4 linked regions of the Arabidopsis thaliana genome follow. The protein of the gene in region 1 interacts with the protein of each later gene in a pairwise test. Each region holds a gene or a part of one and is shown in the gene's direction. Other genes may lie near its edges.

Region 1 (8,767 bases):
CAATTATCCGCAGAAGGAGGAATAGGATTGAGTCATTAAAAGGAGATGATGATAGGTGGGTGACGGATAAGGTGGAGCTGGAAGCTATGGCTTTAACATATTATAAGCGGCTGTACTCGTTGGAAGATGTTAGTGAAGTCCGAAATATGTTGCCAACTGGTGGCTTTGCATCCATATCAGAGGCGGAGAAGGCAGCGTTGCTCCAAGCTTTTACGAAGGCTGAAGTGGTTAGTGCGGTGAAGAGTATGGGACGGTTTAAGGCACCAGGACCCGACGGCTATCAACCAGTCTTCTACCAACAGTGTTGGGAGACAGTGGGACCCTCAGTGACGAGATTTGTGTTGGAATTCTTCGAGACAGGGGTTTTACCAGCTTCCACGAATGATGCTCTGCTTGTGTTAATAGCTAAAGTGGCCAAGCCGGAACGCATTCAGCAGTTTAGACCGGTGAGCTTATGTAATGTTTTATTCAAAATAATTACGAAAATGATGGTGACCCGGTTGAAGAATGTCATCTCTAAGCTAATTGGGCCGGCCCAAGCGAGTTTCATCCCTGGGCGTTTGAGCATTGATAACATTGTGTTAGTACAAGAGGCAGTCCACTCTATGAGGAGGAAGAAGGGGCGGAAAGGCTGGATGTTACTCAAGCTGGACCTTGAAAAGGCCTATGACCGTGTTAGATGGGATTTTCTTCAGGAAACGTTAGAAGCTGCTGGACTGTCTGAGGGTTGGACAAGCAGAATAATGGCAGGAGTTACAGACCCTTCAATGAGTGTACTGTGGAATGGTGAGAGAACAGACTCTTTTGTACCGGCTAGGGGATTGAGACAAGGGGATCCGTTGTCGCCGTATTTGTTTGTACTCTGTTTGGAGAGACTGTGTCATTTGATAGAGGCGTCAGTTGGAAAGAGAGAATGGAAACCGATAGCAGTGTCATGTGGGGGGTCGAAGTTGTCACATGTCTGCTTCGCAGATGACTTGATTCTCTTTGCAGAAGCTTCGGTAGCGCAAATTAGGATCATTCGTCGGGTGTTGGAACGGTTCTGTGAGGCCTCGGGACAGAAAGTCAGCCTAGAGAAGTCGAAAATATTTTTTTCTCACAATGTGAGTAGAGAAATGGAGCAATTGATAAGTGAAGAGAGTGGGATTGGTTGCACTAAAGAGCTGGGGAAGTATTTGGGTATGCCAATCTTACAGAAACGAATGAATAAGGAGACGTTTGGAGAAGTGTTGGAAAGAGTTTCAGCTCGGTTGGCGGGTTGGAAGGGCCGATCTTTGAGCTTGGCAGGGAGAATCACTCTGACAAAAGCGGTTCTGTCTTCTATCCCGGTTCATGTAATGAGTGCGATTCTTTTACCGGTCTCTACGCTTGATACTTTGGATAGATACTCCAGAACTTTTCTTTGGGGGAGTACTATGGAGAAGAAAAAACAACACTTGCTATCTTGGCGTAAGATATGTAAGCCGAAAGCTGAGGGAGGGATCGGATTACGGTCTGCTCGTGATATGAATAAGGCCTTGGTAGCCAAGGTGGGGTGGCGTCTGCTTCAAGATAAAGAGAGCTTATGGGCACGGGTTGTTCGCAAAAAGTACAAAGTGGGTGGAGTACAAGATACTAGCTGGCTGAAACCACAACCAAGATGGTCCTCCACGTGGAGAAGTGTGGCAGTAGGGCTCCGGGAAGTGGTGGTTAAGGGCGTTGGATGGGTGCCTGGAGATGGGTGCACAATAAGGTTCTGGTTGGATCGCTGGCTGTTGCAGGAGCCGTTGGTGGAGCTTGGGACTGATATGATACCGGAGGGGGAGAGAATAAAGGTGGCAGCCGATTATTGGTTGCCGGGATCAGGTTGGAACCTGGAAATTCTGGGTTTGTATCTGCCAGAGACAGTTAAGAGGCGGTTGCTCTCGGTTGTGGTTCAGGTTTTTCTGGGTAATGGAGACGAGATATCATGGAAGGGTACACAGGATGGGGCCTTCACAGTCCGCTCTGCGTATTCCCTCCTACAAGGTGACGTTGGAGACAGGCCGAATATGGGGAGCTTCTTTAACAGAATCTGGAAGCTGATCACGCCTGAGAGAGTACGGGTGTTTATTTGGTTGGTGAGCCAGAATGTGATCATGACTAATGTGGAGAGAGTCCGGCGCCATTTGAGTGAGAATGCTATATGTTCGGTGTGTAATGGAGCCGAGGAAACAATACTCCATGTGTTGCGTGACTGCCCCGCTATGGAACCGATTTGGCGTCGGTTGCTGCCACTGAGACGACATCATGAGTTTTTTAGCCAGTCTTTATTGGAGTGGTTATTTACAAATATGGATCCAGTAAAGGGGATTTGGCCTACTCTTTTTGGTATGGGAATTTGGTGGGCTTGGAAGTGGAGGTGTTGTGATGTGTTTGGGGAACGAAAGATTTGTCGGGACAGGCTGAAGTTCATCAAAGACATGGCGGAGGAGGTGAGGAGAGTACATGTTGGTGCTGTTGGTAACCGGCCTAATGGTGTGCGGGTGGAAAGAATGATCAGGTGGCAGGTTCCAAGCGATGGGTGGGTGAAAATTACCACGGATGGAGCGTCCCGTGGGAATCACGGGCTGGCTGCGGCAGGAGGGGCCATCCGGAATGGGCAGGGGGAGTGGCTAGGTGGTTTTGCACTAAACATTGGATCTTGTGCAGCGCCATTAGCCGAGTTATGGGGCGCCTACTATGGGCTGCTCATTGCGTGGGACAAGGGGTTTCGACGAGTGGAGTTAGACTTGGATTGCAAGTTGGTGGTGGGTTTTTTAAGCACAGGGGTAAGCAACGCTCATCCGCTGTCCTTCCTGGTACGGTTGTGCCAAGGCTTCTTTACGAGGGACTGGTTAGTCCGTGTGTCACACGTGTATAGGGAAGCTAACCGTCTCGCTGACGGGTTAGCAAACTATGCCTTTACCTTGCCGCTAGGGCTTCATTGTTTTGATGCATGCCCAGAGGGAGTCCGTTTACTTTTGCTCGCAGATGTTAATGGAACAGAGTTCCCTCGAGCTGTTTTATTGTAATTTTTTGTAGTTTGTTCTTAATAAATTGGGGTAGGCAATTGCCACCCCTCAGCTTACCAAAAAAAAAAATCATACTAGAGTCAAATTATTCCATTGTCGACTTTGATTAGCATGTAATCCTAAGCCGACCAATGTGTGTGTATGTTGTGTGAAACATATGCTTTTCAAGTTTTAATTAATTAGTGAAGGAGGATTTGACATTAACCAAACAAAATATTACAAATTGGTGTAACTAAGATATGATATATGTTCATTTATTGATGTTTTTCAATTTTCCTATATTCCTTATTATATGATATATATAGTTATGTATGTTTCAAGAATTCGATATGGCACGCATGATTGAAGAATAATGATTGAGGAATTTTTCTGTAACAAAAAAATTTGAAATAAACAAATATGTGGCTAAGAACTTAACAAGGACACATGTTGATATGTGAAATAGGAATCTTATAATAAGGAACAAAAGGTTGAAAGCAAAAGGGTATTTATTTAGTTTACTTTCCTATTCTGAACCCTTAACTTCTGCTATCCTTTCCACCAACAATCTAATAGTATACTCTCTCTCTTTTTTTTCCTCTTCTTCTTCTTGTCCTTCGATTTTAGACCAACTAAACATATCAATATATTAAAGTAGCATCTCTCTCTCTCTCTCTCTCTCTCTCTCGCTCTTTTATTTTTAATATCAATTTTGTTGTCCAAATTCTCATCTCTTTGGGAAAACCCTAGACTAAAGATTCCAATCTCTTTTCTTCTAAATATTTCTTCATTTTTTCCCTTTTTTGATTTGGGTATGTTGGGTCATTGAATCTTGTGACTGCCATGGCAGATCTTTTGGGGATCTGCATAGAAGAGTTGCTTCTTGTAGCAGCTTTCAGGTAGCTGTGTCCAGCCTGCATCAGATGTTATTAACTCACTACACACCAAACACCACAATAACAACAAAACGGCAAGCATTTTGAAGAGGTAAACAAAGCAAGTGGGCAACAAAAACGGCACGCAAGTTTTTCTTCCAAGTTAAAACAACTCTTGGAATGTCATTTTGAAAGGTAAAAAAATAATGGGACTTAAAGGATATAGCGTCGGAGAAGGAGGAGGAGAGATAGTTGAGGTTCAAGGCGGTCACATAATCCGAGCCACTGGACGCAAAGACCGTCATAGCAAAGTGTTCACATCAAAGGGTCCACGTGACCGGCGCGTGAGACTCTCAGCTCACACGGCGATTCAATTCTACGATGTGCAAGACCGGTTAGGTTATGACCGGCCTAGCAAAGCCGTTGATTGGCTCATCAAGAAAGCCAAAACCGCTATTGATAAGCTTGAACTCGGGGAGACTACTACTACTACTACTCGTCAAGAACCGGTGAATACTAAACCGGAATCTCCCACTTTGGTTTTCCAAAGAGAGAACAATGACCAAACGCAGTTCGTGGCGGCCAATCTTGATCCTGAAGACGCAATGAAAACGTTTTTCCCGGCGACGACAACAACAAACGGTGGTGGTGGTACAAACATCAATTTCCAAAACTACCCTCATCAGGATGACAACAACATGGTCTCAAGAACAACAACACCACCACCAAACCTTAGCCAAGATCTTGGTCTCTCTCTTCACCCATTTCAAGGGAACAACAACACAGTCGTAGTTCCCGAGACCAACAATTTCACCACGACTCATTTCGACACGTTCGGGAGAATCTCTGGATGGAATCATCACGACTTAACTATGACGTCATCATCCTCATCAGAACATCAACAACAAGAACAAGAAGAAAGGAGTAATGGTGGTTTCATGGTGAATCATCATCCTCACCATCATCATCATCAACCGTCGATGATGACATTGCTTAATAGTCAGCAACAACAAGTGTTTCTTGGTGGCCAACAACAACAACAACAAAGGGGTACCCTTCAGTCCAGTTTATTCCCTCATTCGTTTCGTTCTTGGGATCATCATCAAACGACGTCGGATCATCATCATCATCAGAATCAAGCTTCTTCGATGTTTGCTTCATCATCACAGTATGGTTCTCATGGGATGATGATGATGCAAGGCCTTAGTTTCCCCAACACTACAAGACTACTCCACGGAGAAGAAGCTACTCAACCAAACTCTTCTTCTTCTCCTCCAAACTCACACCTCTAAACTAAGGTTTGCTTCTTCTTTTTAATGTATTTATATATTTTAAGTATAATAGGTTATTAATCAAGAAACCAGACAATAATTAAATCTTTCATAATTAAATTACCACATGTATTTCTTTCAGACAACCATGGAGGTTCAAATTCATGATGACATGCATTGAACAAGAAGGAGGAAATTAATGTGATGAATGGAGCTAGAGTAAGCGCTATATTAATTAGTATTACCATCTATCCATATATTTATGATTCAAGACTATTATTACTCATTTAGTGTTTGTTATTATTATTCAATTTTGCTTGTTTGTTTCTTATCATCTTTGCATTGATCATCAAGATTGTGATATTTGAAAAGATGGGTTTTATGTGTGTTTTGGTTTAGTACTGGCGTTAGGCTGGGATATTGTAATCTCATATTTTTGTTCTACGAGTGAGTTTGAATTTTCTGGTTTTTACTTGCGGTTTCTATTTCTTCGGTTAAGTAAAGAGTAATTGAAGAACGTTAAAAGCATAGGTCGTATTACATGAGTAATGAAGAAAAAGGTGTTCATTATCATCTGTGCAGATACCAATTTTCTTTTGTAATATAGCTTAGCTTGCTAAAAAGTTGCGACTATTTAATAGAAAAGTCAAATTTATTACAAATTTGGGATTTTTATGAAAAAGTTGCTATTGAGTATTCAATGCTTTGTGACAGTGATACCAAAGGATCTCGATAGTTTAGTCTGCTTTACTTGGTCTAATTGGGTTTGACAGAAGATTTTTCTATAATTCATCTTGAAATAATTGTTTTAGTCATATAGATAGGCGGGCTATATAGAGAATGACATTTATCACTTTTTGGCACTTTTACATATAGTATATATATATGTACATATATTTGGTTTGATGAAATACATGATAATATATTTAGGTTAAAGGAGTTTGTACTTTGTTGTCACATGATGATCATTAATATTTTTCCCAACGATGATCATCATTTTTATACAAGACGTTAAAAGCTACAGAATGTTCGTACTTTTAAAAGTCATCTACTGCGAGAATGACTACTTTGGCCTTTTGATTATGGATTGTGCTTGGATTATTAGAAGAGTTCAACAAAAGGATTACAACTTCCATCTACAGTTTTGTTACAAAAGGATTGTACTATATGTAAGTGTAACCCAACAAACCTAAACCAACAGACAGGAATGCGGTAGAGCAAACCGGTACAATCAAAATCAAACACCCTTCATAAAACTATATCGGATACGCCAAACAATATGAAAATATATGTCTCTGTGTTTAGTTTTTTTCGTGAAAATAAGATTCCGAGCAATATGAAGAGCTAAAGTGTTGTCACTGTAGAGTACACAGAGAGAGCATAAGAAGCATGCTTTATATATTTACATAATATAAAACCAAAATATATATTTACATAATATAGGCAATCCAAACATGTTCACAAATTCCAAGAGCCATAACTTTGTATTTAGCTTTGATAGACAATGAAATGGATGAATTTTCATTGAACATAAAATCCAAGATACATAGTACATACGAAATTGTGGATAACTTGCCTAGTCATAAGCAGTGAAACCTCAAATATATAGGTCTAGAGCAGCAAAGTAAAAACAAGCTTTGTCCAATGCTTCCTTTAAGAAACAAACAATCTTATGAACTATATGTCCCTTGGTGCATATGAGAATTGACCTTGTTTACCACCAAAAGAAACATTATCAGACAACATCTCGAAGATGTAACTTGCGTTGACAAACATAATGGTTTTTTTTTTATCTAACAATTTCCAAAATAGATAAGTACCGAAGATGACCAAGATCCTTGAGTTGGAAGTAATTAAATAGCCGAATTGTCAATTACAAAAAAGAACCAAAATATCATATGGTATCATCCACATAAACCAAAATACCAACAAAACTTTACCATAATACAATATATATGATCAACATTAAATATTATCAAATCTCAAATAAAAAATAATAAAGAGTTCTAAGAACATTTGTGGATAGATCATAAATAGATTTATAAAGTTTGCAAAAATCTATCATGAATTCTCCTTTTCGTCCTACAAATATTACATAACAATATGTAAACCACTTCATCCATATAAGCTGAGTCAAATTCTCAGTTCATCTTCGCTATATGTATCAACTTATCGGAATCACTTCTATTATTAATGGAAAAACCGAATATCACATAATGAGAGGTTTTAATTTCTACATAAAACTATAAAAGCCATGGTTGTATAATCAAATAGGACTGTGGGAGTAATATAAGCAATTGAAAAGTATAGGGAAAATATAAGATTCTACAAGTGATAATGTCCTATTTTGTAAATAACGATCAAATAAATTCCAAACAGTTTTAGACCAAAAACCCTTTGGTCATCGTCACCAGAGATTAGATCTAAAACCCTATCAGAGACCATTTCGCGTGAACAAAGATGGCGGGGCCTTTGCTTCGATCTCTTTGGTCAAACACCACTCGAAGATCCTTCTCTTCTCATTCATCACCTTCCAAATTCGGATACTCGCTCTCCTCCTTACGCTCCTTTTCAGCAGCCACCGCTTCCACAGCTGCAGCCGGAGCTCCTAATAGCTCGCTTGACCCTAATCGACTAAGAAACGTGGCTGTGATAGCTCATGTCGATCACGGGAAGACAACACTTATGGACAGGCTTCTTCGTCAGTGTGGTGCTGATATCCCTCACGAGCGTGCTATGGATTCTATTAATCTTGAGCGTGAACGAGGGATCACTATTTCTTCAAAGGTATCGCCTTTCGTATGTTTGGATTGGAATTAGAGTTAATTGTTACTTCACAATTTTGAAAATGGTTCTGTTTGAAAATGATTCTGAGACTCTATCAAAGCATATTTATGTTCTGTTCTTTTTTTTTTCTCAGTTTGTTCTGTTATGTCTGTAACTTGATGTGTTCTTTTACCGATTCCCTGAGATTTTGTTATTTATCACCACGTTACACGACATTTAAAGTTTATGTCAAATTTTCCGACAGGTGACATCAATATTTTGGAAGGACAACGAACTTAACATGGTAGACACACCTGGTCACGCAGATTTTGGTGGTGAGGTATGATACTGATCTTACTTTTAGCGTATTATTTGATTCTCATGCTCGTTTTTAGTAGAAATGCATATTAGTGGACAAAAGATAAATTAATTAGAAGTTCTCAATACCTACTCATGGTCTGTTGACATTAGGATACTCCTTACTGTAGAACATAGGTGCTATCTTTGTGACTATTTTGTGTATTTGAATTATAGGTTGAACGAGTCGTTGGTATGGTTGAAGGAGCTATATTAGTTGTTGATGCTGGAGAAGGCCCTCTTGCACAGACTAAGTTTGTTCTTGCCAAAGCCTTGAAGTATGGACTACGCCCAATCCTTCTCTTAAACAAGGTAGATCGACCTTCAGGTATGCATTGCATTCACTCCCTTTCTTAGTAAAACTTGTTGGTCTTGTTTAATTTGTTTAGTTTCTCATCCTTTTTTTTCTTGCTTCGTTTATTTACAGTCACGGAAGAGAGGTGTGATGAAGTGGAGAGTTTGGTGTTTGATCTTTTTGCAAATTGTG
Region 2 (9,201 bases), 5.4 Mb from region 1:
TAATTTACTCAGGCCAATTATATAAGAATTATGTAGAAAGCGGAATCTTACAAAAACCCATTTGCTTTTTAATAATTGAATAAGATTTTCAGAATCGTAGTTTTTGTATAAAAAGAAGATAGAAAATAGAACTGGAGAAACCCTATAGTCTTCATATCTGATACCTTTTTCAAGCACAGAATAAGTAAATGCTTTATTCACACACATCTATGTATGTATATAGGAATGTGTGTATATATAAAAAATATGATACTTTGAAAAGCCATTATTCTTTGTTCTGCGCAACAGCCCATTTCTAACTCATCCCTGCCAAGTAGCAAGCATAGGGCACATTTTTGTTTTTATTAATTTTGTAAACAACAGAGTTTCTGATCTTATAGATGCGTACATACTTTTACTATTCGGAACTAGAATGGTTCAAACTACTGTATATTTAACTAATACAAGTAGTACTCTCTTCTCAATGTCTTTAGTAGCTAAAATGAGTTTAACGAGTGAAGCAGAAATAGTATTAACAATTGAAGTGTACTGCCATGTAACACGGTTTTAGTCGGTGCTGATAAATTTGATATTAAACGACATAAAATTTGTGAGATGATATTTTAAAAGTTGTCAACATCTGTTGCTATTTCTTATATAGTAATGGGCTTTGTCTACTTTTTTGTAGTGAACTTGATTAGTGTCTATAATTGATCTCCAAAGACAAATGATGGTTGACTTCCATTGACACTAATATTTACTTTCAGACATGTGGGGTTCAGTTTATACCTTTACAATTTGGATGTTTGTGAAAAAAAACAAAACTAATATAATAAGTAAAAGATGATATATTATTCTCGAAAGGAGAAAGTCCCCAGACAATCTATTATGCACACACCATTTGAAGAATTAAGTTCGTTTTAATTAATGGATATCAATTAATTGATTGAAACATCATTGGCAAGTTAATTAGTTACTTTTTTCGAAAAGTAAAAAACTGAAAGAATTATTTCATAATCATGCATATATATGAGAAGTGGAGAGTATGAATTATTGCTTCAATTAAATTGTAAGTACTTTCTCATTAGATGTACAAATAGATTGGGGGTTTATGGCAAAAGCTTTTCTAAACCAATCAGAAGAGAAAAGAATAGGGAAATGTCAATGTCACGCCTATGATCTCAGAACACACATACATGCATGTATATAAACATTTAAATTTCCAATACATGTGTGTACTATCTCTGCATTCCCATCGCCCAAATTGCGACAAAAGTGTGGGCTAACCCTAACATTATATACGTTTCTAGTAAAGTATGATCAGACCAACATTTTCAACGTTTCCTTCCTTATAACCAAAAATTATGCACGCCTTAATACTCAAAACTTCCGCCTTTTATATTTGCATCTTTGGTCGACCTTTTACCGATATAACCACCTTTTTTTCTTTGTCAAACACTTATATGACCACTTAAATGTTATTAATTGTGAGGCAATAAATAGTAGCTGATTGCAATATTTCGGAGCTTGATTCTTCATATGTTAAGTTATGCTGAATTTACAAAATAATGTGTTTTTTTCGGTAACCGAATGTTAGGGATTGCACAACCATATGAATAATTGCTTGTGAGATTACGAAATATTAACTAACTTAACCACTTAAATGTTGTTTGGGGGCAGGAAATACTAGTAGCAATAACACGATTGATTTTGCATTACATAATCTAATTCTATGATTCTTCGGATCGATTAGTAACAAATACTAATTAATATTGATATACAAGCTAAGGAGTTATTTTCAATTGGTGGGACAAAACATATATGATATATGCATTGCATCATTTTCGCAAGTAGGTGCATAGATATTTTCTTAGACATCTATACTTGAAATGAGAATGGAATATTATATAAAATCATATGTAGGTTTGAAATTAATTACGTGTGGAGTTTTGCTCGTGGCTTTCACCAATATGGTGTTCCTATATATACGTACATATTCATGGCGCTTTTAAAACTATCATTGAGAAACACTACATTAGTATATTGGCTGTTTCCCTTGTATAATTCTTAGTTAAAAAGAGTTTTCTTATCCAGCAAAAGCAATACAAACTAAAAATAAAATTGTAATCTAGAAAATAGCTAGGAAGATAAATCATATAGTTTCCTTATCCTAATCAATGAAATTCGGATACACATTTGAGAGCGTGCGTAAATTATTAAGTGATAAATGCCAAATATTTTAAAACAACAAAATAACGATTTAAGTTAAACGGAAATATAAAACTAGTATATTGATAAGCAGCCGGTTAACTCGGAAATTTTAACTACAAAAATAGAATTAATTTACTTTCGCTTTCATGGAAAGTCTAGACTTGGATGATTCCAAATATTCAAATGGAGGGGGAAAAAACAATCATATAATTGACTAAAAAGCTAATGATAACCAATCAATAAAAATGGAGCATCATGTTTATCTCTACATATACATACATGATACAAACAAACAAAACAAAGTATGTTTCAATTGAAATTAAATACTAATAATTAAAAAAAAAATTAAAAAAATAGGAAAGGAATTGTATAGAGAAACGAGAAAAAGTAATGGCAGTGGTAATTAAGGAATGACAACAACGGGTGAATGAGGCGACGCTTAATCACTCCCATGCACACGTCCCTTTCTTCCCCCCACCTCTGCCGCCCTCTCTCTCTCCTCTCTTCTCTTCCTCCATTGGGAACTGCGAATTCTATTGTCAAAGCTTTAAAACTTTTTTCACTTAAATTTTTTTTCAAGAGCTTCGTCGTTTCTTAACTTACTTGCAAACACATTACATGTGTCATCACGTGCAACCCCAACCCCAAAGCCTAAGCTCGCGAATCTTCTAATGTATGCCTCAATCTTCCCTTGTTCATACTAGTACTACAATATCTTCTTCCTAAGATTTCAAAATTGATCATGAAGTGGTTTGTAGTTTAGTGGTCATCGCTATATTGATCCAATCTCATATTTTTGTCGAAAGTTTTGTATAGTAGCTATAAATTTGATTCTTTAGTTAGAATTTCTTGTTCTATTTATATAGAAACATAAATGCCTATAGCTATTTTCATATATTAACATGTGCTTTTAATTGTATAGACCAAAATTTAATTGATTGCAAAATTAGGTTTGTAATTGTTTGAGATCAGATAGAAAAAGGTCCATCTTTAAGCGATAATATCCTCAAAACTATTTTGTCATCAGTCTTGTCTCCTTGTGACCACAAGGTCATCTTAGAGGTACAACGGTATAGATGCTTAATGTCTACGTTTTCTAGTAAGGGTGAGACCGCATGGTCAACCGAATTTCTAATATAGGCATTATCAAAAAGAAATCTTATATTGGATGTTGACAACAAAGATTTAATAATAACTCGCATCATTTGACTAATTAAAAATTAAAAAAGATCTAAGTGAGATGTATATTTTTATCAAAAAAAAAGAAGTGATATTTGTAAAGAAATTGTCCAATTCTTTTGTCAATTAATATTATGTTCAAAGTAATTTAACATTTGTTTAATATCTGGATCCACTTGTCAAGATTATGCATTTTGTGATAAATAAAAACAAAGAGTGCGGTATAGTGGTGGTACAATTCAATTGTTATGTGGCAATACAATTTATAAGAATATACGGAAAAGGTATAAAAAAAACTGTTTGTGAAAAAAATGAACTGCTTATTCAAATGGTGTTTAGGGTGTAGTTCCGAAACTTATTAAAAAAACTAATGTATGTTTATTTTATCGATCATAAATTTTATTCGGCCACTTGATTTAATGAAAAATTATATAAATAGTTATTGTCTTATTAAACACCGGCATATTTATTTTTATTTGGTTTGTGTTATCTGTTCTACACCATCCAAACTTATTCCATTTATGTTGCTGGTTCACTACCGCTGACTCTGTTATACTATTCAAAACCTAAAATTGTATATAACCCATTGGAGAATTTCTTTAAAGAATATATGTATCGCTGAATTGAAATGTATAATACACCACATTATATATATACACACAGTATTACCGAATTAATTAACGAAATTAATAGTAGACGACCTAGAGGCTACAATTAGAGCATTTGTTGTTTAATTTTTACCCTCTAATATATTAATATCCCCTTTCCCTTCTCACTCCTTTCACCTCTTCTCTCTCTATATATCTTCCTTTGTGGTATATAATACACAGCAACCCAACAATCAAGAAGATCAGATCATGGTGGGGTTTTTTATTTTCTCCTTATCAAGAATCCTCTGATCAGTCAAATACCCATCAATCAATCAAATCCCCAAACACTCCCAAAAAAAGATCAGCTTCCAATATTTTTCCCCTTCTTACAAAAAAGATGTCTATGTCGTCTATGTCCTCCCCTTCCTCAGCTGTTTGTTCACCGGACCACTTCTCTCCTTCCGACCATCTCTGCTATGTCCAATGCAACTTTTGCCAAACCATCCTTGCGGTACAAAATAACCTCTCTTCAATACTTTCTCTCTCATTTTTTCTCCTCCAACTTCTCATCTTCTTGATCTATACAAGATTAGGGGTTTTTTAAATTCATTGTTTCTTTTGTGTGCTTATAGGTTAATGTTCCTTACACAAGCTTGTTCAAGACCGTAACTGTCCGATGTGGTTGCTGTACCAATCTCCTTTCGGTGAACATGAGATCATATGTCCTCCCAGCTTCTAACCAGCTCCAGCTCCAGCTCGGTCCTCACTCTTACTTCAATCCCCAGGATATTCTGGTACTTAAACAAAATTCAAATACATAATCTTATAGGGTCTCATTTAGCTTATTGGAAGTAATCTCAAGCCTCAAGGATATAAATATTATTGTAGGAGGAGCTGAGAGATGCACCGTCTAACATGAATATGATGATGATGAATCAACATCCTACTATGAATGACATACCATCTTTCATGGATCTTCATCAACAACATGAGATTCCTAAAGCACCACCCGTTAACCGCCGTAAGATACTAATTCTTCTCACTTTTATGATATTAACTTCTATGCTAACCGTGTTTATAATTTGGTTGTGATGATGAATCGCCATTAAGACATGCATAGCTTTTCTTATTTAACTTTCACTGGATCTCGTTCAAACCCTAGCACCATTGAATTAAGTCTAGAAGGAGATTTTTTACCTTTCTTTTCTTTGTATACTAGAAGGAGACATGAGAGATTATGATTTTGTATATTTAAAATATTCATTGATCCATGAACTTTAGTATGTGTTGATTGTCTACATATCCTAGATGGCTTTTAGCGTTGGTAAACATTAAAATAGTGACGATAAAAGAAACGGGGAGATAGATTCATGGATCCCCCGGAAATCTAGCTAAAGAGAAAAAATCTATGTAATATGTTAGAAGATGGGCTTGTCTTTAAAAAAACATGATGAAGTGATGATGGGTTAGAGAGAGAAAGTATTTGTGTGAGAGAGAAAAAAGACAATGAAAGTAGTTTTAATGAGTGTTTGTCTCTTTCTGTCTGAGTTTTTGTTTTTTCGCTTTGTCTTTGCCGTTGAATTTCGCCATTGCCAGCTCCAGAGAAAAGACAGAGAGTCCCATCCGCATATAACCGATTCATCAAGTGAGTCTCTTATTTAATTTTTACAATCATTCATATTCTAACCATAACTGTGTAACATTAATATAATTCCTTGTCACGTTTTTATTTTAGGGAGGAGATCCAACGTATCAAAGCTGGTAATCCTGATATAAGCCACAGAGAAGCCTTTAGTGCTGCTGCCAAGAATGTAAGAACCTTATTTCTCACATCCCAAAAATTTATATTAAACTGTTATCCATTGGTTGAATCAAATTTTAATAATCAAAAGAGTCCTTGATAATCCATATTTATCTCTAGTTCAATAAAAAAATTATTTTTTTAAACGCTGAAAATTCTAGTTAGAAGTGATGCGTTTTAAGTATTCTTTGTTTTCCTTTACTAAAGAATTTAAGCCATTGATACTACTAACATCACAACTTGGTTTAGATTGCCGGCAGAAACTAGGGTTTGATTTTATCTATGCGTATAGTTGCTCTTGTATTAGTTGTATATATATTAAACAGTCATATATGTAGGTATAGCTGAAATTAGGAGTAAAGAATTTTGTCGGGTTATAACACAAGTTGATATGTGTCTTGTACGTATGTTGTTTATGTGTAATGCAGTGGGCCCACTTCCCCCACATACACTTCGGGCTCGTGCCAGACAATCAACCCGTGAAGAAAACCAACATGCCCCAACAGGTAAACCCTAATCTGTCGACATACCTTACATCTTTAATGCATATACTTTTATGTAATATCATATATACAAATATAATTTCAATTGATTTGGATCATATCTTAAACATGTGTGTAGGAGGGAGAGGATAACATGGTGATGAAAGAAGGGTTCTACGCTCCTGCAGCTGCTAACGTTGGTGTGACTCCTTATTAAAGAGATAAATATAATCGACTAAGTATTTGAGGAATTGAAATCCAATTTCTTAGGGTTTATCATGTCCAAAAGTTGTGGTTTCTTTTCCTTTCTTGAACTTATTTATATATATTATAAATATGCATGTGTCTTTTTCTGTTGTTGTAATCAAAAATCTTGCTAATTAATGGGGTTTCTTAAGTTAATTTTCATTTGTAGTTGTATAATTAATTAACTTATCAAAATGTTTTCTTATTATTACTGAAAGCCGAATTTGAAATTTAAATAATCAGACTTTTTTAATAGATTTTTACACCATCGCCATATGTAAAAGAAACTCAAAGGAAATTACAACCACCAATTAATCCAAAGCTTTTTTTCCTCCAGAATGAATATATCACAAAAATTTAACCGAAGAGAAAACAAGAGGGGAATGATCATATTACATTTCAAAATTCAAACTAAACTAAGAATGGAAATATGCACAAGCATTTGCTTCCCGAAAACATGTAAAACGATGTGATTCTGTTCAAATTTCTCCATTCAAAATCTGATTCTTGAGATTGTTGCATATGGTTCAATCTTATTGCTCCCATTAATGGTTTTATAATAGTGATATGGTATAATTAAATAAGAACTGGGGCATGCATCAAACGACAATTGTTGTCAAAATAGAGGGAAATTAAAAGTTAAGATAAATTTATTTCGTAAGATCAAAAATTCAGTGATAGCAATAAGCTAATCTAAAAGTGTATATCAGACTTAAATTTAACTCGTCTTTTTTTCTTTTGGTGCAATATAGAGCGGTGGATATAAGTAGCAAATCAAACAAAAATGACATTAGGATATGAGCAAGCATGATAAATAACAAAAAAAAAACGTTTTGGGTCAAGTGACTATATGTTATCAGGCCTACTAGAATTCGGCCCATTAATATTAATGACGAGTTTCCTTAGCAATCAGTGGGCCTGGTATACAATAATGCGATGATAATAAAATGATTTAAATCCTTCTTTTTTTTTTCTTTTTTTTTTTGGACTAAAAAATGATTTAAATCCTTAGCACCGGATCCCAACGGAAATTGCTTCTCAGAATAGTTTTCTTCAGTCTCCGACTATATTTATTTCATTTTCCGATCATCGTACTATACACTCCCCAACATCGAGTAAACAAGCTTAGTTGTCAATTTACGAGTTCCAAAAGAAGAATCCAACAAAACGCAGTGTTTCGTTACTTCTAGACCCATCTAATTTCTACGTGTTGTATGCAACAATGACGGCTTTACCCTTTCGCTTTCTAATGTGGTCCATGTTGTTCTGGACTTATAGGTCCATATGGGCCTATGTTGGGTTGGATAATAATTAACCAATAAGAGACCACGTAGAGACCCTCTAAACCAAATAGAGGCGTTGAAGCATGAGCACGAATAGAAGAGCGTTATGATTGAATGTCATTTATGGACGAGAGGAGAAATACTAAGAACATAAAATCCATTAACAAGCTCAAGCATTACATCAAACTCAATATTGAGAGAACAAAGGTTCTATCATGAACAAGCTCAAGCATTACATCAAACTCAACAGTGACAGAACAAAGCTTTTTCTCACAAAAACAATAGATAACAGTAGAAACAAACATATAAAAACATAGCAAACCAAAGAGATTTTTCTCTTTTAAAGTCTCAAATCTTCAAGAACATTGGAAACCATGAGGAACTTTCTTGCCACAATAGTTCAACAGCAAGGTTAGATCAATAGGAACATTGAGATTAATCCCCAAGACATTGGCTTTAAGAGCGGTGCAGAGACAAACCGCAGCTTCAAGATTAGCAAGACCTTGAAGAAGTGTACAACAAGGAGTCTTTGGTGGAGAACCAACAACAACGTTAACTAGGCCCAATAAGTCTGCGCAAACACCAAGCTTAAGTGTGTCGGTAGGACAAGTGGGTTTCACGGCAGGAGCCTTCTTAGGCGATTTCGGGGTTTTTGGGGGTTTAGGAGTAGTTGGTGGACATTTTGTGGAGGTTACAAAGGTGAAGAAAAGAAGATTAAGTGTAATAAGAAGAGCTGTAACTGCAAGAGCCTTAGAAGCCATTGTAACGTTTTGTAATGTTTTGGGATGAATGTGAAGGAGAGATATAGGACATGGTTTATATAGAACAAGTTATTACTAATTACATATACCGAGAGATAAAATAGCATGTGAGCGACTTAAGAAAATTAGAGTAAGAAACAAAACTATCCAGCTAGTTGGCTTTTGCAACTTGAGGTCTTGAAATTGATTAGACTATTTTTTAGGAATTGTTAATTTATTTTTCTATCACAGAAAGGGAAAAGACAAGATTTTTGTCTTGTTTGTTTGTGAAAGAAGAGGCTCCACAAACTTTGAGACAGAGTGTCTCTCTGGGTGGTATGCATCAGTTTGATCATAGTTGTGTAGATCCATTATACGTTGTTGATAAGATATTGTTTTACATTGCATTAGTCCCCATTCCTTTAGATTTTTTTATGAATGATAGATCTTTCAGCATCAACCGATTATATTTCCAAATGCAACTGGACAAGATAATCCCAAAAACAAAATTCAAAGAGTCTACATCTCATCATTACTCGTTTCCAATATTTGGTTTGGTCTAGTTTATCCAAATTTGTAAGATACCTTCTAGAGTGGTCCGTTTAGTATCCAAGAAAGAATTCATGTAGTAGCATCATCAAATGATACCAGTCTAATGAATGAAATCTTTGAGGGAGAAAGAAAGCCACA
Region 3 (7,411 bases), on another chromosome or scaffold:
TTTGCCAATGACCCAATAAAATAACTTAGGGCTTTAAGGTTCCAAACCCACAATTACCATCCTCAGGTAAGTCGGGGGCTCGGGGCCAGGTATGAATTAGTCCAAATCCCCAAGTTTAGACAACCGATTTTGAGAAGAATGTTGTTTTCCTTTACGATTTGGATGTTATATCTTCTCTTGTTTAATGTTTTCTTTTCTTTCTTTTTTTTTTCAAAAAATTTGGTGTTACTAACATATTGACTAATTAATATTATTTATTACAAATCCGTTGTAGTCTAGCTGGTCAGGATACTCGGCTCTCACCCGAGAGACCCGGGTTCGAGTCCCGGCAACGGAGATTTATTTTTACTAATTACAGACAAAATTTACCCAATCCTAGCAGGGAACATGACTGATGTTCCAACTAATTACAGGTTTTTGGTTATATATATGTTTTATTCTGTCCCAATTCTTATACTCTTTGGATTTCAAAAATGTTCGGTTTTACTAGGACTTGTACTGTAATTTAAGACGAGTGGGATCACATGCCTCTAAGTAAAATGTGTTAAATTAATTTAATCTAGTAAAAAAAATCATCTGAAATTGGCTAAATTGTTCTTTACTTGAAAAAAAAAAAAAACTGTTCTTTCACTGTCCCCACTCACGATGATTCAATTACCCTGCATGCTCATAAACCTGAGCTAAGGAATTCCTTTTTATAGAAAAATGCTTATCGTCGAACAAAATGTTGATCAGTGGATGTTGGAAAAAAAAGAATGTTCATTAGTGGATATATTAATCGTTGAATGTTAAAATATTCATCAAAACATATAATTGATTGAGTCTATTTGGTTTTTTGTTAAATGAGTCTACTGTCTACTTCTCGTGTATGTAGCTACAATACGGCATTATGCGTCTATGCATGGATACTGGAAATACGTTTGTACCTGCAATAATCCAAGAAAATGAAAACCCTCGAAGTCAATTTCATATGTGTAATATTCTTCCCCTCAAAAACAAAAGAGAAAGAAAAATAAAGTGAAAAACTCATTAAAGAGTTTTCCATAACACTAACACTTTCGGACCAAACAAGAGACTTCTTCACTTTTCTTCACTGCAGCTTCCCATGCCTTGTAATCACTTTTTTGTAGACTTTTTAGATCCTCTCGCGAAAGAGAAAAAATAAACATGTTTTTTTTTTTTGCTACTCCATTTTAAAAAACTTAGCATCATTACTAATATTATAACACATAATCTACCCTCGTAGTTATAGAAATCAATACAATAACGCATATATATCCTACCTTTTTCGTCTAGCTTTATTTTTCTTAACTTGATATATAGCCAATTTGAAATTTTATTTTTGGATGAATTAAGCCAAGTGGTGAACTGGTGATTACTTATACATTTTCTTTTTTGGTTTGATCATTTTTAATGACCAAACCTAACCGGTGAAATTGGAGTAAGATAAAGTGATATCACTAGATTACAAAGTGTTCAAATTTGGAAAGAAACAACACTGAGTTTTTCTTTGTTTGTTCTTCTCCATGGTGGAAGCAGAAAGAGGAAATCCAAAAAAGAAAGAAAAAGAGAAGTCGCTGTAAGAGACCAGACTCTGAGGAAATGAGGGTGTGGTTCTTTGGGAATCGTAACGCACAAAGACGGAAGATTGTATCGCTATTAATAAAAAGGAGGAAGAAGCACAATTGCTGAAAAAAATAGTTATATATGTATGGCCTATATATATATATAGTTATTTAATGCTTTTTTATGTACGCGATAATTTGGATGAAAATAATGGAGATTGTCAGATTTTATGATTCAATCTTCATCGGAAAATGTTGCATAGTTATTTCACCCACTCACGTGTATATGTACTATATACATTTACACTAGATTCATCTAGTTAGGGTTTACGGTTACACTTTATACACAGACGAAATGGGGGCCGCTTGAGCTGTCACATGTTTAAACCATATCATAATAGATAAGCTAGTGATAATTTGCTTAAAAGAAAACATGATTTAGTAAATCAATTGCATTCAATTTTTGTTTATTACAACTCGGTATACATTTCGAAACATATTATACAAGCTTTATAAACCATTATGATATTTCACATCACAGTTGCAGAAATGTACATACAACCAAAAAGGAAAAAGTAATAATAAAATACTATATGTATTCTAAATGAAATCATAGATTTAAGAAGTAAATTAAATTTATGTGTCTTATATATTCTATTATTTTACATGTTTTTGTGGAAATTTAGAAACTAGCTGTCCAAAATGAATCATTTAACTTTCACATGTATGAAAAATATTAATAGACTTAATTAAAAAACACTCTAAATTTATGATCAGGCAATAAAAAAATTGTTCATTGCTCCAATCCATCCGAATTTGTATTATATAAAATACATGGCAAAATAAAACTTCTTTTAACTAAACTATATTATATTATAAGTCTTGCTCATGACTGTTATATACTTTAATAATATGATCGAATGCTAGCTATTATATTAAATACACAGTTACTCTTTTAATTGCGGTTTTCATTTTAAACCGCTATAAATGCGAAAACTATATAGTGTATACTTATATCGAATCAAATTAATTTCCAAAACTTGTGTGTGTATAAGTAGATGTTCATACATGTAGTTGGCAGTTGGGTGGATTTAATAAGAATATAATATACAGTGAACAATGGATTAATACCAAAGAAGTAACCCTATAATGCATGATTGCAGCCTGCATGCGCAATTTGTATGATTATAATGCAGACCAAATCATAACATATGTGCAAAATATACGCTTATATCTCATATATGTACATATACATGTGTATTTATACATTGCTTTTGTGTTGAGGCATATGACATAAGAAACTTGTCACATTAAATCAGAACCGTCTGATTTTTGTATAAACGGATCGAAACAACGTATATAAATTTGCCTCTTTTGAAGTCTCATAAAATTTCGTGTATTTTACGGATTTGTGTTTGTTTTATACACTTGTATACAAGAACGTTGTTACGTAGATGTGAACTTTGTTAATAAAAAGCAGAAATTGCTTCATGGAAAATGATATATTCACCACCGTCTTATATAAACGAGTCACGACGATGATACACGTCTTTCTTATTAATGACAATCATGGATAACACCCAAATGTTGAAGAAGCTAAGGTGTCCCCATGCGAGTGATTTGATGTTTGTTATCCTTATAAACCTTTAATCACGTCGCAAGTTATAGAATAGCTTTGTGGAAAAAAGCAAGTTGATCATTTGTTTTATAATAATATATAACATTGCGAGTTTCACACACAATTTACATTCAATATTGGACTCCATCGAGGGGAGAGAGAAAATCACGACCGTTGATCGGGATAAGAGTATAGGATCAACAAAATGTGCTATTTCGTGAAGAGACAAGAGAATGAGAGAAAATTTATCAAGATTTCCTATTTTAGTGAATGGGTTTTGTGAAGAGAGAAGGAGATAATTAAAGGGATTGTAAATTGAGAAGTCAGAATAAGAGCACACAAGTGGTGACATCTTTTGTGAATCAAAGAGAAACTCATGTTCATATAAAGTAATTCACATTCTTATAGCTAGTGGTTATTAGTTTATTACTTTGGTGAAAGCCACTTTCTCGATATACCCTAAATTCAAGTCTCAATGTGGGAGAGGGAAACCCTAGCCAACTCAAAACTATCTCATTAGTCAACTGGAGCTGCTCATTAAAAAAAAAAAAAAAAAAGCGATTATGCCAACTATATGTATACAAAAGTGCTACAACGTTTATAAACATTTTCGGAGCATAAAAAAACTTCTTATTCAACTATATACAATTTAATCTTTTTCTTTGGTAACGACTAGTGACGTCCACTTATTGAAAAGATACATATAAATAAAATTATTCTTTATTTTTTCTCCGAACCAAAATCCTTAATTGCATCACCAACCTAACCCCTCATCATATGATCACCTTTCTTTTTTTCCTTTAATATATATATATGCTCACACACACACATATATATATACATATAAGCATCGCCTCAAGCATTAAAATTTTTACGAACCAAACAAACAAAAATTATGAATAATTATAATATGAACCCATCTCTCTTCCAAAATTACACTTGGAACAACATCATCAACAGCAGCAACAACAACAACAAGAATGATGATCATCATCATCAACATAATAATGATCCAATCGGTATGGCCATGGACCAGTACACACAGCTCCATATCTTCAATCCTTTCTCTTCTTCTCATTTCCCTCCTCTCTCTTCTTCCCTCACAACCACCACTCTTCTCTCCGGAGATCAAGAAGACGACGAAGACGAAGAAGAACCTCTAGAGGAACTCGGTGCTATGAAGGAAATGATGTACAAGATCGCAGCCATGCAATCGGTTGACATCGACCCAGCAACCGTCAAGAAACCCAAACGCCGTAACGTGAGGATCTCCGACGACCCTCAGAGTGTGGCGGCTAGACATCGCCGTGAGAGAATCAGTGAGAGGATCAGAATTCTTCAGAGACTCGTGCCAGGTGGCACTAAAATGGATACGGCTTCAATGCTCGATGAAGCTATACGCTATGTCAAGTTCTTGAAACGGCAGATCCGGCTACTCAATAATAATACCGGATATACTCCTCCGCCGCCGCAAGATCAAGCTTCTCAGGCGGTGACGACGTCATGGGTTTCACCGCCACCACCGCCAAGTTTCGGCCGTGGGGGAAGAGGAGTAGGAGAATTAATCTAGACAAGATGACATTTCCATTAGTAGTAACTAAATTATGCTATAATGTGTGAGTAATGGTGCAATTATGGAAAGTGTTTATATATAATAAAAATGGATACGAAATAAGGGTTTGTTAGGATATATAATATATTGTTGTTGACCGTGAAAAGGTTGTGGAATAATCATAACGGTTAGCTTGAGTTGTGTACCACCATATATTTAATATTATGTTATCATTTCGTATATAATAATAAGTTCTTGATTTGGAGTTTGGTTGTATACAAGTTTTGGCCGGGCATTTTTCGGGCATAAGAACCATGACGCCATCAAAGAACCCTATTTAAATAGTGTTATCATTACTGTGGACTTTTGTCTTTGTATACACACAACGCATATATTTGTGAAGTACTATATTTTAGAGCATATAATATGAATGTACTCTATTGCTTCATTTTCATCTTTTTACGTACATACCTCACTTTGAACGTTAATACCTATACATATTGAAAATCGTTTTGTTATGATTAGAATAAGCTTTAAGAATTCCTAAATTACAATAAGCTTTAGGGCTTTTTTTTTAATATATAGCTTCACAACTAGCAACGAAAAATCCAAAAAGAAAAAAGTTGTTATGAAAATAATATCCGTACGTTTAGTCTATTAGATTATACTTGTTAGTATCCGATTAAACATCACCTGAAAACTAAAAAGTCTAACAGACTAAACGTATCCGATTATACTTGTTGTAAAAATGTTAACGAAAAATGTTTAGCTATAGTAACGTTTAGCATAATGAAAATTACGACAATCATCCCATAAAATGATGTTTTGTAATATAAAGTAATCTCAAATTACAACAAACCGATAAGGTATACAGATACTCTACTCCAGAAAGAGAGTATATATCGAGACATATTATAAAGAGGATGGTGCAGAGAAAATGTACTTGCTCGTTTTGTCTTCGAATTAATGAATAGAAGTTCAACTAAAACAGTTGCAAGATCTCTTTTTACCTTCCCAATAATAAAAAGAAAACCTTTGACTACAAACAAGCATTAAACCACCAGAGCTTTGCTCCACACTTGTTGGTCAGAAAATCTCAGAAAAGTAGCAGAGAGGTTAATTCAAGGAAACCTATGCTCCTTGTTCACTTCACTCATGGATACTTCCGCTGACTTTTGTGTCTCCTCACATTCATAGGTTTTAATAAAGACACAATGAAATGTCAGTGAGATTCATGGAAACCTAGCTATATCCATTTTGCTAACGAAATCATTTAATATATTTTCTTTCTTTTTGCCACATAGTTATACATTCATTCACATCCTAGAGATAATTGCAAGAACTTAACGTCTAACCAAATTATTTAGCTCAAACAATGCATTAATAGTCACTAAATAGCCATGGGTATGATTCATATATTTTCAAATCTAATTCGTTTTACTACAGAAATATTTCAATGTGATTCGAGATAATTCTTACATGATCAAACAACTTTCTAATTTTATGAATAAACTGTGATCCCGGTGAAAATGTATGTACTTCACACCATTAAATATCAATATTTTTAACGGCCCATAAATATAGGCCCAATTATGTGAAAAGTTACTAATGGGCCTGATTTATTTCAAGTGTCCGTTTTTCTCTCTCTAGTTCTCTTACTCGTATGAGAAAGAAAGCCCACCCGGGAATCTCCGACCCGACCGAGAAATGGGATCGTCAGCGAATACAGAAACCAACGGCAACGCACCGCCACCGTCGTCGAATCAAAAGCCTCCGGCTACGAACGGCGTTGATGGGTCTCATCCTCCTCCTCCTCCTTTAACTCCTGATCAAGCTATTATAGAGTCGGATCCGTCGAAGAAGAGGAAAATGGGGATGCTTCCTCTAGAAGTGGGTACTCGTGTGATGTGTCGGTGGAGAGACGGGAAACACCATCCGGTGAAAGTAATTGAGCGCCGGCGGATACATAACGGCGGTCAAAATGATTACGAGTATTACGTTCATTACACTGAGTGTATGTCGTTTAATTCCTTATCAAGTTTTGATGTAGGGTTTTCAATTTTGGTTGATTCGTACTGTTGAGCTTCACAAAGGTGGAAATTTAGTCAAGGGTTTATAATGTAGGAAGAAAAAAGAGTTAAATTGCAAGACTTTATCAATTGGATCATTGGAATTGGCTTCAAGTTGTGTGAGATTTTTGAGAAGGAGATCAAATTCTGCATTATACTTTGCTTCTAAAGATTTTGAACCATTTATACTATTGTGATTAAGCTGAGTAATATGATGACAAAGTTGGTGATTTTGAAATCTTATGATCATCAATGTGTTTGATTTTGGTAATTTGTTTTCGAAACTGCAGTTAATAGGAGGCTGGATGAATGGACTCAGCTGGACCAACTGGACCTTGATTCAGTAGAGTGCGCTGTAGATGAAAAAGTGGAAGACAAGGTGCGTTCTCTAGTTTTGTATTGTTAGTTGCATAATGTGGATTTCATGAGTTTTCTCATATACGTTTAGCAATGAGCAGAGATTTATGTCTGTGGTTTCTAGGTAACAAGCTTGAAGATGACACGTCACCAGAAGAGGAAGATCGATGAGACACATATAGAGGTAATGAATGCCAATATAAGGCGGGTCCTGGAAACGTAAGGTTTGTGTTGATTCAGTATTCTGTGT
Region 4 (7,903 bases), on another chromosome or scaffold:
CAAAGCATCAATAACGTTATTGCAGATTTTAACATCCGGGTTTCTTCTGGTGTCCCACATTGCTCTGTATAATTCCATAGCCTTTCCCAATTTCCCCTTCTTCGTCAATGCATTTATCATTGTCCCATAGCTAACAACATCTGGCCTGCATTTAGAAGCAATGATATCTTTCCAAAACCTCTTAGCTTCATGAACATTTCCTAATACACACCACCCGTTGAGAATCATATTCATCGCTTTTATATCGCAACCAAACTCTCTTCTACGAGAGCAAAACAAAGTTTCCGCAAATTCAACATGCTTATACCTACACAACCACATCAAAAGCCCATGAAACGCAACCAGATCATCATCTATCCCAAACTCTTTCCTCCTCTCAAAGACTCCTACAGCTTCATCAACTTTATGTGCAGCAGCGTAACGGTTTAACAAAACTTCGTACGTCTTCTCGTTAACAAATCCATCTCTCTTAGACATTTCGTCGAACACTTGGTGAAACTCTTCAAATCGCCGCATTTTCCCAAGAACATCGAGAATCTCGTTATACAACATCGAGCTAGATAGATGAACAGATTGTTTAACGACCAATTGAGAAAGTATATAAGCTGGTTTCCAATCAGATCGATTCCGATTAACCACTTCTAAAACAAGCTCTTCGGTTAAGTCTATCCCGCACTTATCGAGAATCCGCTTAATCTTTTCAGGTGAACTTCCACGGTGATGCTTTATGATGTTATGAACATCAAGAGCAGATTGCTTGTCTTTGTCGTCGTTGAATCTATTTGGAAATTTGTCGGGAGCTCCAAGAGAATGAAGAAAGTGTGTACCCAGAAAGTGGAACCTGGAGAGAGTGATATTGTTCTTATGATTCGGTGTCTCGGGAGGAAAAACACGGCGAAAATCGACCAATGATGAGATCCGGCGCCGCGATAGAGCACTTTGTAGCTGAAACAAGATTTCAATTTTGTTTTTCCCTCCCATCTTCACTAAACTCTCTAAAGATCTTCCGAAGCAAAACGTTACATATACAACAACAAAAATTGCAATGAAAAATACATATCTTTTTACCAAAAATGAATTAAACCGGATTTTTTTAGTAAGGTTGAATGATCATTATTTGTTTAAGAACAGCATTATTTGTTAGTGATTGCTATTAAAATACGAATGATAACAAATTTTAGTATATGAAATTTCATTCGTTTCGGACAAAAAAAATAATTTTTATTGAATAAAGAATTTATTTCGATTGAAGTGATATTGTTTGGTACCGAAAGTTTTGCTTACAAACAAACAGAGGTTTTGAATATAGAGACAGCATAAAAGTGAAGCTAGCTTAAGTCTATAATCATGTTTAAGAAAATTAAACAGTAGTATCTTCTTAATGAAACGTAAAGATAATATATTTAAATAAATGAATCTTTTTATTTTCTGATATCCAGCTGATTCTGTGGCCCAAGAAACCCAATCCATTATCCATGGCGTGAAGACATATGTAGCTGTCGTAAAAGAATAAACAAAGACCAATTAAAAAAGAGCCAATTAACAACCAAATTACATAAAATTTATTAAAACTAATCTATTAATCACACGTCTTGTTCTGCCGTCAGAATGTAATTACCGTCCGTCTTTTAGGAAACAAAGAACAAAACAAACGGCGGGCCCACCGCCGTTAGAATCTCTCTCGGTTAGCCGACGCGGCCACCATTCTCTCTCTCTCTTCATCCATTCTCCACGCGTCGCGTTGACCACGTGGCACTATACATCTTTAAAACTCTTTCTATTTTATTTAAATAGCGAGTGCGTTGTGGGCCATCTTTGTTTTTCTTTGGCGGAGGGGCGGCTAAATAGCCTTTTGTTTTTATTTTAGTTTTATTCCGCGAAAGAAAAAGCAGTCAAACTCCAAGTTGAATTTGGAGCTGAGTCTACGAAGTCACGCATAACGCTCTTTCTTTCACGCGATCGCCGTCGGCACGTGTTTGGCGGTGAGATTCACGCTCGTACATGGAAACGCGGTTCCCAAGCCGCGCGTCCTCAAGGTGTTGCCACGTATTTTACATTTTTGCGTCATCCAATACTGTTCTTTGGTTTCTTCTTCTCTCTTCTTTTCAGGCGCCGCTGCTTAACTTATTTCCTAGTTTTTGAAGTTACTCTTGTCTTTAACTCACACTGCCATATAGTATGACTTTATTTACCTGTATTTTCAAATTTTTACACACATAACAGTATCTTTAGTTGTTTATTGGTCTTACAAAAAATTGGGTATTTTTTAAACCAAAAGTTTTGAGATACGAAAACAAAATTGATATGATCTGAAAAATTAGTTACTCACATATTTGTTCAAGTTTTTTTCTCAATTATGCAAGCATTAAGGTTGATCCAACAGGTTATGAGAAAACAAACTGAGTTCATTACAAGTGTACTCACTAGAGCAAGCTTGTGTAGTTATATCCTAAATCATGAGGGTAAATGGCACATGACAATTCGTAGTTAGATTAACTATATATATTAAATTAAGATGTGGGATTACATTCTTAATTCCCTCGGTTATGAAAATCAAAATCTTATCACCAGCATTCAAGGGAATACGCTGTGTAGACAAAACAGCAAACAACATGCATCTCCATTAAATGCGTCAAATACTGTACGGATTTCTTTAGTTTTTTTGTTACAAATTGTATCAAAAGTTTGTTAGTACATTGTACATACAGATAACAAATGAATTTCACTTTTTAGATAAAATAGTTTACACAAAAAAAAAAAAAAAAGACTTTGCATCCAATATTTTCCACCACAAAATAAATCATTCAAAATACGGATTGATTAAATATGTATCATAGTAAGATCTATATTTCAAAATTTATCCTTATTTCATTAAGAACTTTAATGCAAAGATTACATAGTCCAATTAATTTTCTCATTGCCAAATATTAATAATTAAATTAAAGATCCAGTGATAAAAAGTTTTATTTTAAAATTAAAGTCAATCAAATTAATGTATTTAATTTGTATCTATATTTTTGACAATGTATTCAACTTTTTAAATACATCAATAAATTCATTAATAAGATGATCAACAAAAATTGAAAACGCTTGGTGAGGTTAAAAAAGAAATGAAGGGTTGATAAGAAAAACAAAATTCTTTGAAAGAGGAAAGAAAAACACGTGGCAAAAGATAAGTGGAGGTAAAAAAGAAAACCATGAAAACCGCTGGTGTTTTGTAAGAGAAGCCGCTAAAACCATTTCAGGCTTTGACTGTTCACAACAAAGCGCCCCAAAAGGAGCGTCGCTTTTACTCTCTCTCCCATCCTATATATAAACAACTCTCTCCTTTCCTCTTCTCCCTTCAATTATCTATCACACCACCACTCTCTCTCTAATCTATCTATCCGAGAATGGCCAAGATGGGCTTGAAACCCGACCCGGCTACTACTAACCAGACCCACAATAATGCCAAGGAGATTCGTTACAGAGGCGTTAGGAAGCGTCCTTGGGGCCGTTATGCCGCCGAGATCCGAGATCCGGGCAAGAAAACCCGCGTCTGGCTTGGCACTTTCGATACGGCTGAAGAGGCGGCGCGTGCTTACGATACGGCGGCGCGTGATTTTCGTGGTGCTAAGGCTAAGACCAATTTCCCAACTTTTCTCGAGCTGAGTGACCAGAAGGTCCCTACCGGTTTCGCGCGTAGCCCTAGCCAGAGCAGCACGCTCGACTGTGCTTCTCCTCCGACGTTAGTTGTGCCTTCAGCGACGGCTGGGAATGTTCCCCCGCAGCTCGAGCTTAGTCTCGGCGGAGGAGGCGGCGGCTCGTGTTATCAGATCCCGATGTCGCGTCCTGTCTACTTTTTGGACCTGATGGGGATCGGTAACGTAGGTCGTGGTCAGCCTCCTCCTGTGACATCGGCGTTTAGATCGCCGGTGGTGCATGTTGCGACGAAGATGGCTTGTGGTGCCCAAAGCGACTCTGATTCGTCATCGGTCGTTGATTTCGAAGGTGGGATGGAGAAGAGATCTCAGCTGTTAGATCTAGATCTTAATTTGCCTCCTCCATCGGAACAGGCCTGAGCTTTTAACGGTGTCGTTTCAATTCGAAGCGCATGCGTTTCTTCTTCTTTTTGAGCTGTGAAAATTCGTTTTCTCATAGTTTTTCCTCTCTCTCTCTCTCAGTCTAAATTTATTACCAGTTTTTAGAAAGAAAAAACAGATTAAATCTGAGAGAGAAAAATATAATTTTAGCTGACATGGATCGTTATGTACATATTATTACATAACCGGAGATCTGAACTTTTGTTGTGTGCTTTTAATTTTTTGCGACTTGGTTTCACCCCATGTTGTTTCTCTATTTTTTTTACTACTTTTTTTTTTTTTGTTCTTCCAAATTTTCAATCAATAATTTGGTAATCTTCAGAATTATCTTGTCCAATCCAATTTCCGAAATTTTGATTATTACTACTTGTGGGTTGTGGCGGCTCCTTCTATTGGCTTTCCTTTTCTATCGTTACCACCAAATTAAAAAAATTGAAGGGACTAAAATTACTTATTTGACAAAACAAAATAATTGTAAGTTGAAGTATAAGAAAAACTAAAATTCAAAGTGAGATTAATAAAATGGTAGTTGAGTATCGTCGGCTTTTAACAATGGTCCAAGTTTCCAGCAGACACGCAGCCGGCGTGTGTGGGCCCTCGTTTTGCTCTCTGCGGCGTAAGTTAGAAAATTCTTTGCGCTTACGTCACTTAGTAGTAGGGTCCACTCACAGAGTACGGACATACTCATTTCTTTTCTTTCTAGCTAACTTGGAAGAGTCTTGAAGCTGAGAGTTAACACTCTTTAGGTCTGACAGAGAGAACCTAGATTTTTAATTTGATAGATTCTTAAATTTGGAAAAGAAACTGCCACAAAACAAAGATAAGATTTTGTTCAATTTTTTTTAAGAAAGATCTCTAGTTTCGTAAACAAATTTTTGTCGGCAAAAAATGGAAAAAGAGTACACAAAGTCTCTAAAGAAACAACTATGACTAGTCTAGATATTGGTTTTTTTTATCTGAAAGCTTTTAGAATATATAGCTTATAGTGCAAAATTAATTTTCTTTAAACTATGACATTGAATTGATTCGGAGTTGAATTGGACTAAACCAACATCATTTGACCCGTTAAGCTAACAATAGTGTTATTTATAGATATTCTTTTGGCCAATTATTTCTAGATGGCTGGTCTTTTTGAATTTTATTTCGTTGTTTTAAATTTGTGCGGAAAGTAAATTTAACTTGCGAAATTTTTTATTGAATGATGGCGTGATGTGTTGAAAATGTAAATATAGGTACAAAACAATGATGTTAAAAGTTTGAAAGAAAACGACGACGTATAAGAGGGTGTGAAATAGAAAGCGGCTTCATAATGAGAGGCAGAGAAGAGAGGTTTTTGATTGGATTCTTGTCTCCAACTCCGCAATCAGAAAGAGTCAATAACTATCCTTTCGTGATTCTCGTGTAGATCCAACGGCTAGATTCTATTCTTATCCACGTGTCTGGATCATACACTTTCATGTTTATTAACTACGCAAAAAAAAAAAAAGAGTGAAGCGGCACCGACGGCCAAGCAGCGCGAGTCATCATCATCCTTTTCAGAAGAGACCGAATCAGAGACGGTGGCGCCCACATTCCCATTTTTTTTAATAATATATTTATGAGAATAAGACTTTTTAGTAGTATTATTTCAAAGTCTTTGTCCTCTCAAAGAGAGTATTTATAGCGAGTAAATTATGTTTACAAATATATATATATATCTAGAAATAAAGAATGTTTTTACGCATCTTTTATCGTATTCAAATAATTTCACTCAGACAGAATAGTTGAGGTATATTTTAGAAGTTAATTTGATAAGTTAAACTCCTGTTTTTAAAAGAGAGACAATTTTGCAGAGGAAAACATTGTATGCCCGTAACAGTTCATGAAGATAAAATCACTTAAAATAAAAAAATTAATATTTACTTTTCCTATTGGTAGTTATCCAAGTAGAAGTCCACCAATTATAATTGACCTAATATGCCTTAAAAATCCGGTTCGATTGACTCTGTTAACATATTTCTTAAGTGAAAACCGGAATTTTTACAGAAGATGTGTGTGGTTGAGCATATGGCGCGTGTGAAAGTGGCATGGGATGTAAATTCCGTGTTGACGAGGTTTATGTCGGGATATTGGGTTGTCTTCACGTGCATCTCCACCGTCCGATAAAGTTTGATTCTCACTGTCTTTCTTTTCATTTCATTGATTTATTATATATTTACTAGCCTTATTTGTTTACGTGAAGGACTCCGTAAATTGAGGTAATTTCATTTTGGCCCCTCATCTCATCATCTTGTCCCAAAGAAACCCCACCTCCCACAATTTTTCAATACCAGAAACTTTAGACAATAAGATTAATTTTTACATTAAAAAAAATAAAAAGAAGAAGAATATGCAGAGAAATAGGCATACTAATTATACACATGGATGATGGGTCATGTGTAGAATTAATAAAATACAGGTTAGTTGCAGATATGGATATCAGGATCACATCTTAATTAAAAATATATTAGCATTATAATATTCGAGTGGGAATAATAATTCATTTTAAATCTTAACCAAAAATAAAATACTGAGAGACACGTGTGAAACAAGATTAGCTGCGGCGGCCGCTTTTTCTTGGTGGAACCCACACGCTTCATACTAAGGTCATCCAGAATCTCAATCCCAACCAACCAGATTTTTTCCCTCCTTTTTCTTCTCACCCGATTCGAAGTCGGCTACATAATGTATCTATATTGCTTATTTATCTCATTTCTTTTGGTCTTTTACATAGAGAACCCTATCATTTATTAATCTCAACAAAAGTATCCCAATCATCCATTTTTATGGCACACTGCATTAAAAGCTCACAGGAAATTAACTACAGATCCATTACGCACCGCTTCAATATTAGTTTCAAAAGTAACATCATTCACCGGCATTTCATTAATTGGAGAAGATATTTTTCTCCTTGAGTAAATTTATTACTCGAGTACAACACGCATAAACAAATTCAATAAGATGGTTTTTGTATTAGATCAGTTTTCAATCGAATTTTCTTTTAACTATAAATAATGATTAGTAACATTTATCAATCCTAAGTTTCTAAGACTACGAGAGCTTCATAAAATTTTGCACTAACAAAAATTGAATTCCTGAAAAAGGTAAGGGGTTCGCATGAAGAAGAATGAGAATAATAGAAGGAGTATTTTTGGTAATAAAGTTTGAACCAATGTGAAGAAGCCACGCAGATAGCGTCACCTGGACACATGTTACCAAAAATGGGGACAGGTGGCGTCGTGAAATGTCGTAACGTGACAGACAGTCACTATAGAGAAATGGTTGCGTCGGCTGTGTGACGCTGATATCATTCCCACGTGTGTGCGCGCGTGAAACGGGTCCCTATTGGGTCCAAGTGCTTTGTGGCGCGGCGCGTGAGCCACGTGTTTAGAGTTCTGCTTACTATAGAACCCTGTAACCAAAACAAGGACCACTTATTTCCATTCTACGTATTTATTAGATCACATACACATTCGTGTCTCTTTTTTTTCGTTTATGGACAAAAAAAACTCTCCAAATAATCGTCTGAATATTTTGAAAGTCACTATGTAGTTATATTTTGATTAAACGCATTTCTCACCCTGATTTGTTATTCACTCGTTAAAGAAAAGTTAATGTATTTGATAAACCTAGTTGTATTATTTAATGGGAAAGGGCATTATGGACGGTAGCCATTACCGTTAAAGCGCCGTTAGCTGCGGCATATGAGAGTTGGGTGATGTGTCAGGTCAGTTGAACTGTCGTCTTTTTCCATGAAACTTCGAGGAGACCTGATTGGGTTTCACGTGTCTTTTTGACGCCGT

Evidence for each region.
Region 2: the proteins of TCP10 (region 1) and AFO interact in binary tests that used the Arabidopsis thaliana proteins (3 or more experiments, as listed by UniProt).
Region 3: the proteins of TCP10 (region 1) and HEC3 interact in binary tests that used the Arabidopsis thaliana proteins (3 or more experiments, as listed by UniProt).
Region 4: the proteins of TCP10 (region 1) and ERF4 interact in binary tests that used the Arabidopsis thaliana proteins (3 or more experiments, as listed by UniProt).

The regions. Positions count from the first base shown.
Region 1 is NC_003071.7:13,217,395-13,226,161, reverse strand, and holds TCP10 (TCP domain protein 10), read left to right. Parts: upstream 1-3,552; 5' UTR 3,553-4,092; coding exon 4,093-5,178; 3' UTR 5,179-5,184; intron 5,185-5,299; 3' UTR 5,300-5,684; downstream 5,685-8,767. Other genes in the region: EMB2785 (elongation factor family protein), read left to right, coding at 7,618-7,956, 8,189-8,263, 8,458-8,608, 8,708-8,767. UniProt on the Arabidopsis thaliana protein: Plays a pivotal role in the control of morphogenesis of shoot organs by negatively regulating the expression of boundary-specific genes such as CUC genes, probably through the induction of miRNA (e.g. miR164). Participates in ovule development.
Region 2 is NC_003071.7:18,625,708-18,634,908, reverse strand, and holds AFO (Plant-specific transcription factor YABBY family protein), read left to right. Parts: upstream 1-4,129; 5' UTR 4,130-4,356; coding exon 4,357-4,470; intron 4,471-4,480; exon of another isoform or gene 4,481-4,591; coding exon 4,592-4,753; intron 4,754-4,847; coding exon 4,848-4,980; intron 4,981-5,555; coding exon 5,556-5,604; intron 5,605-5,694; coding exon 5,695-5,770; intron 5,771-6,188; coding exon 6,189-6,266; intron 6,267-6,381; coding exon 6,382-6,459; 3' UTR 6,460-6,657; downstream 6,658-9,201. Other genes in the region: AT2G45180 (Bifunctional inhibitor/lipid-transfer protein/seed storage 2S albumin superfamily protein), read right to left, coding at 8,128-8,532.
Region 3 is NC_003076.8:3,023,743-3,031,153, reverse strand, and holds HEC3 (basic helix-loop-helix (bHLH) DNA-binding superfamily protein), read left to right. Parts: upstream 1-4,039; 5' UTR 4,040-4,078; coding exon 4,079-4,753; 3' UTR 4,754-5,045; downstream 5,046-7,411. Other genes in the region: HAM2 (histone acetyltransferase of the MYST family 2), read left to right, coding at 6,443-6,749, 7,095-7,183, 7,286-7,345. UniProt on the Arabidopsis thaliana protein: Required for the female reproductive tract development and fertility.
Region 4 is NC_003074.8:5,118,080-5,125,982, forward strand, and holds ERF4 (ethylene responsive element binding factor 4), read left to right. Parts: upstream 1-3,342; 5' UTR 3,343-3,392; coding exon 3,393-4,061; 3' UTR 4,062-4,483; downstream 4,484-7,903. Other genes in the region: AT3G15200 (Tetratricopeptide repeat (TPR)-like superfamily protein), read right to left, coding at 1-981.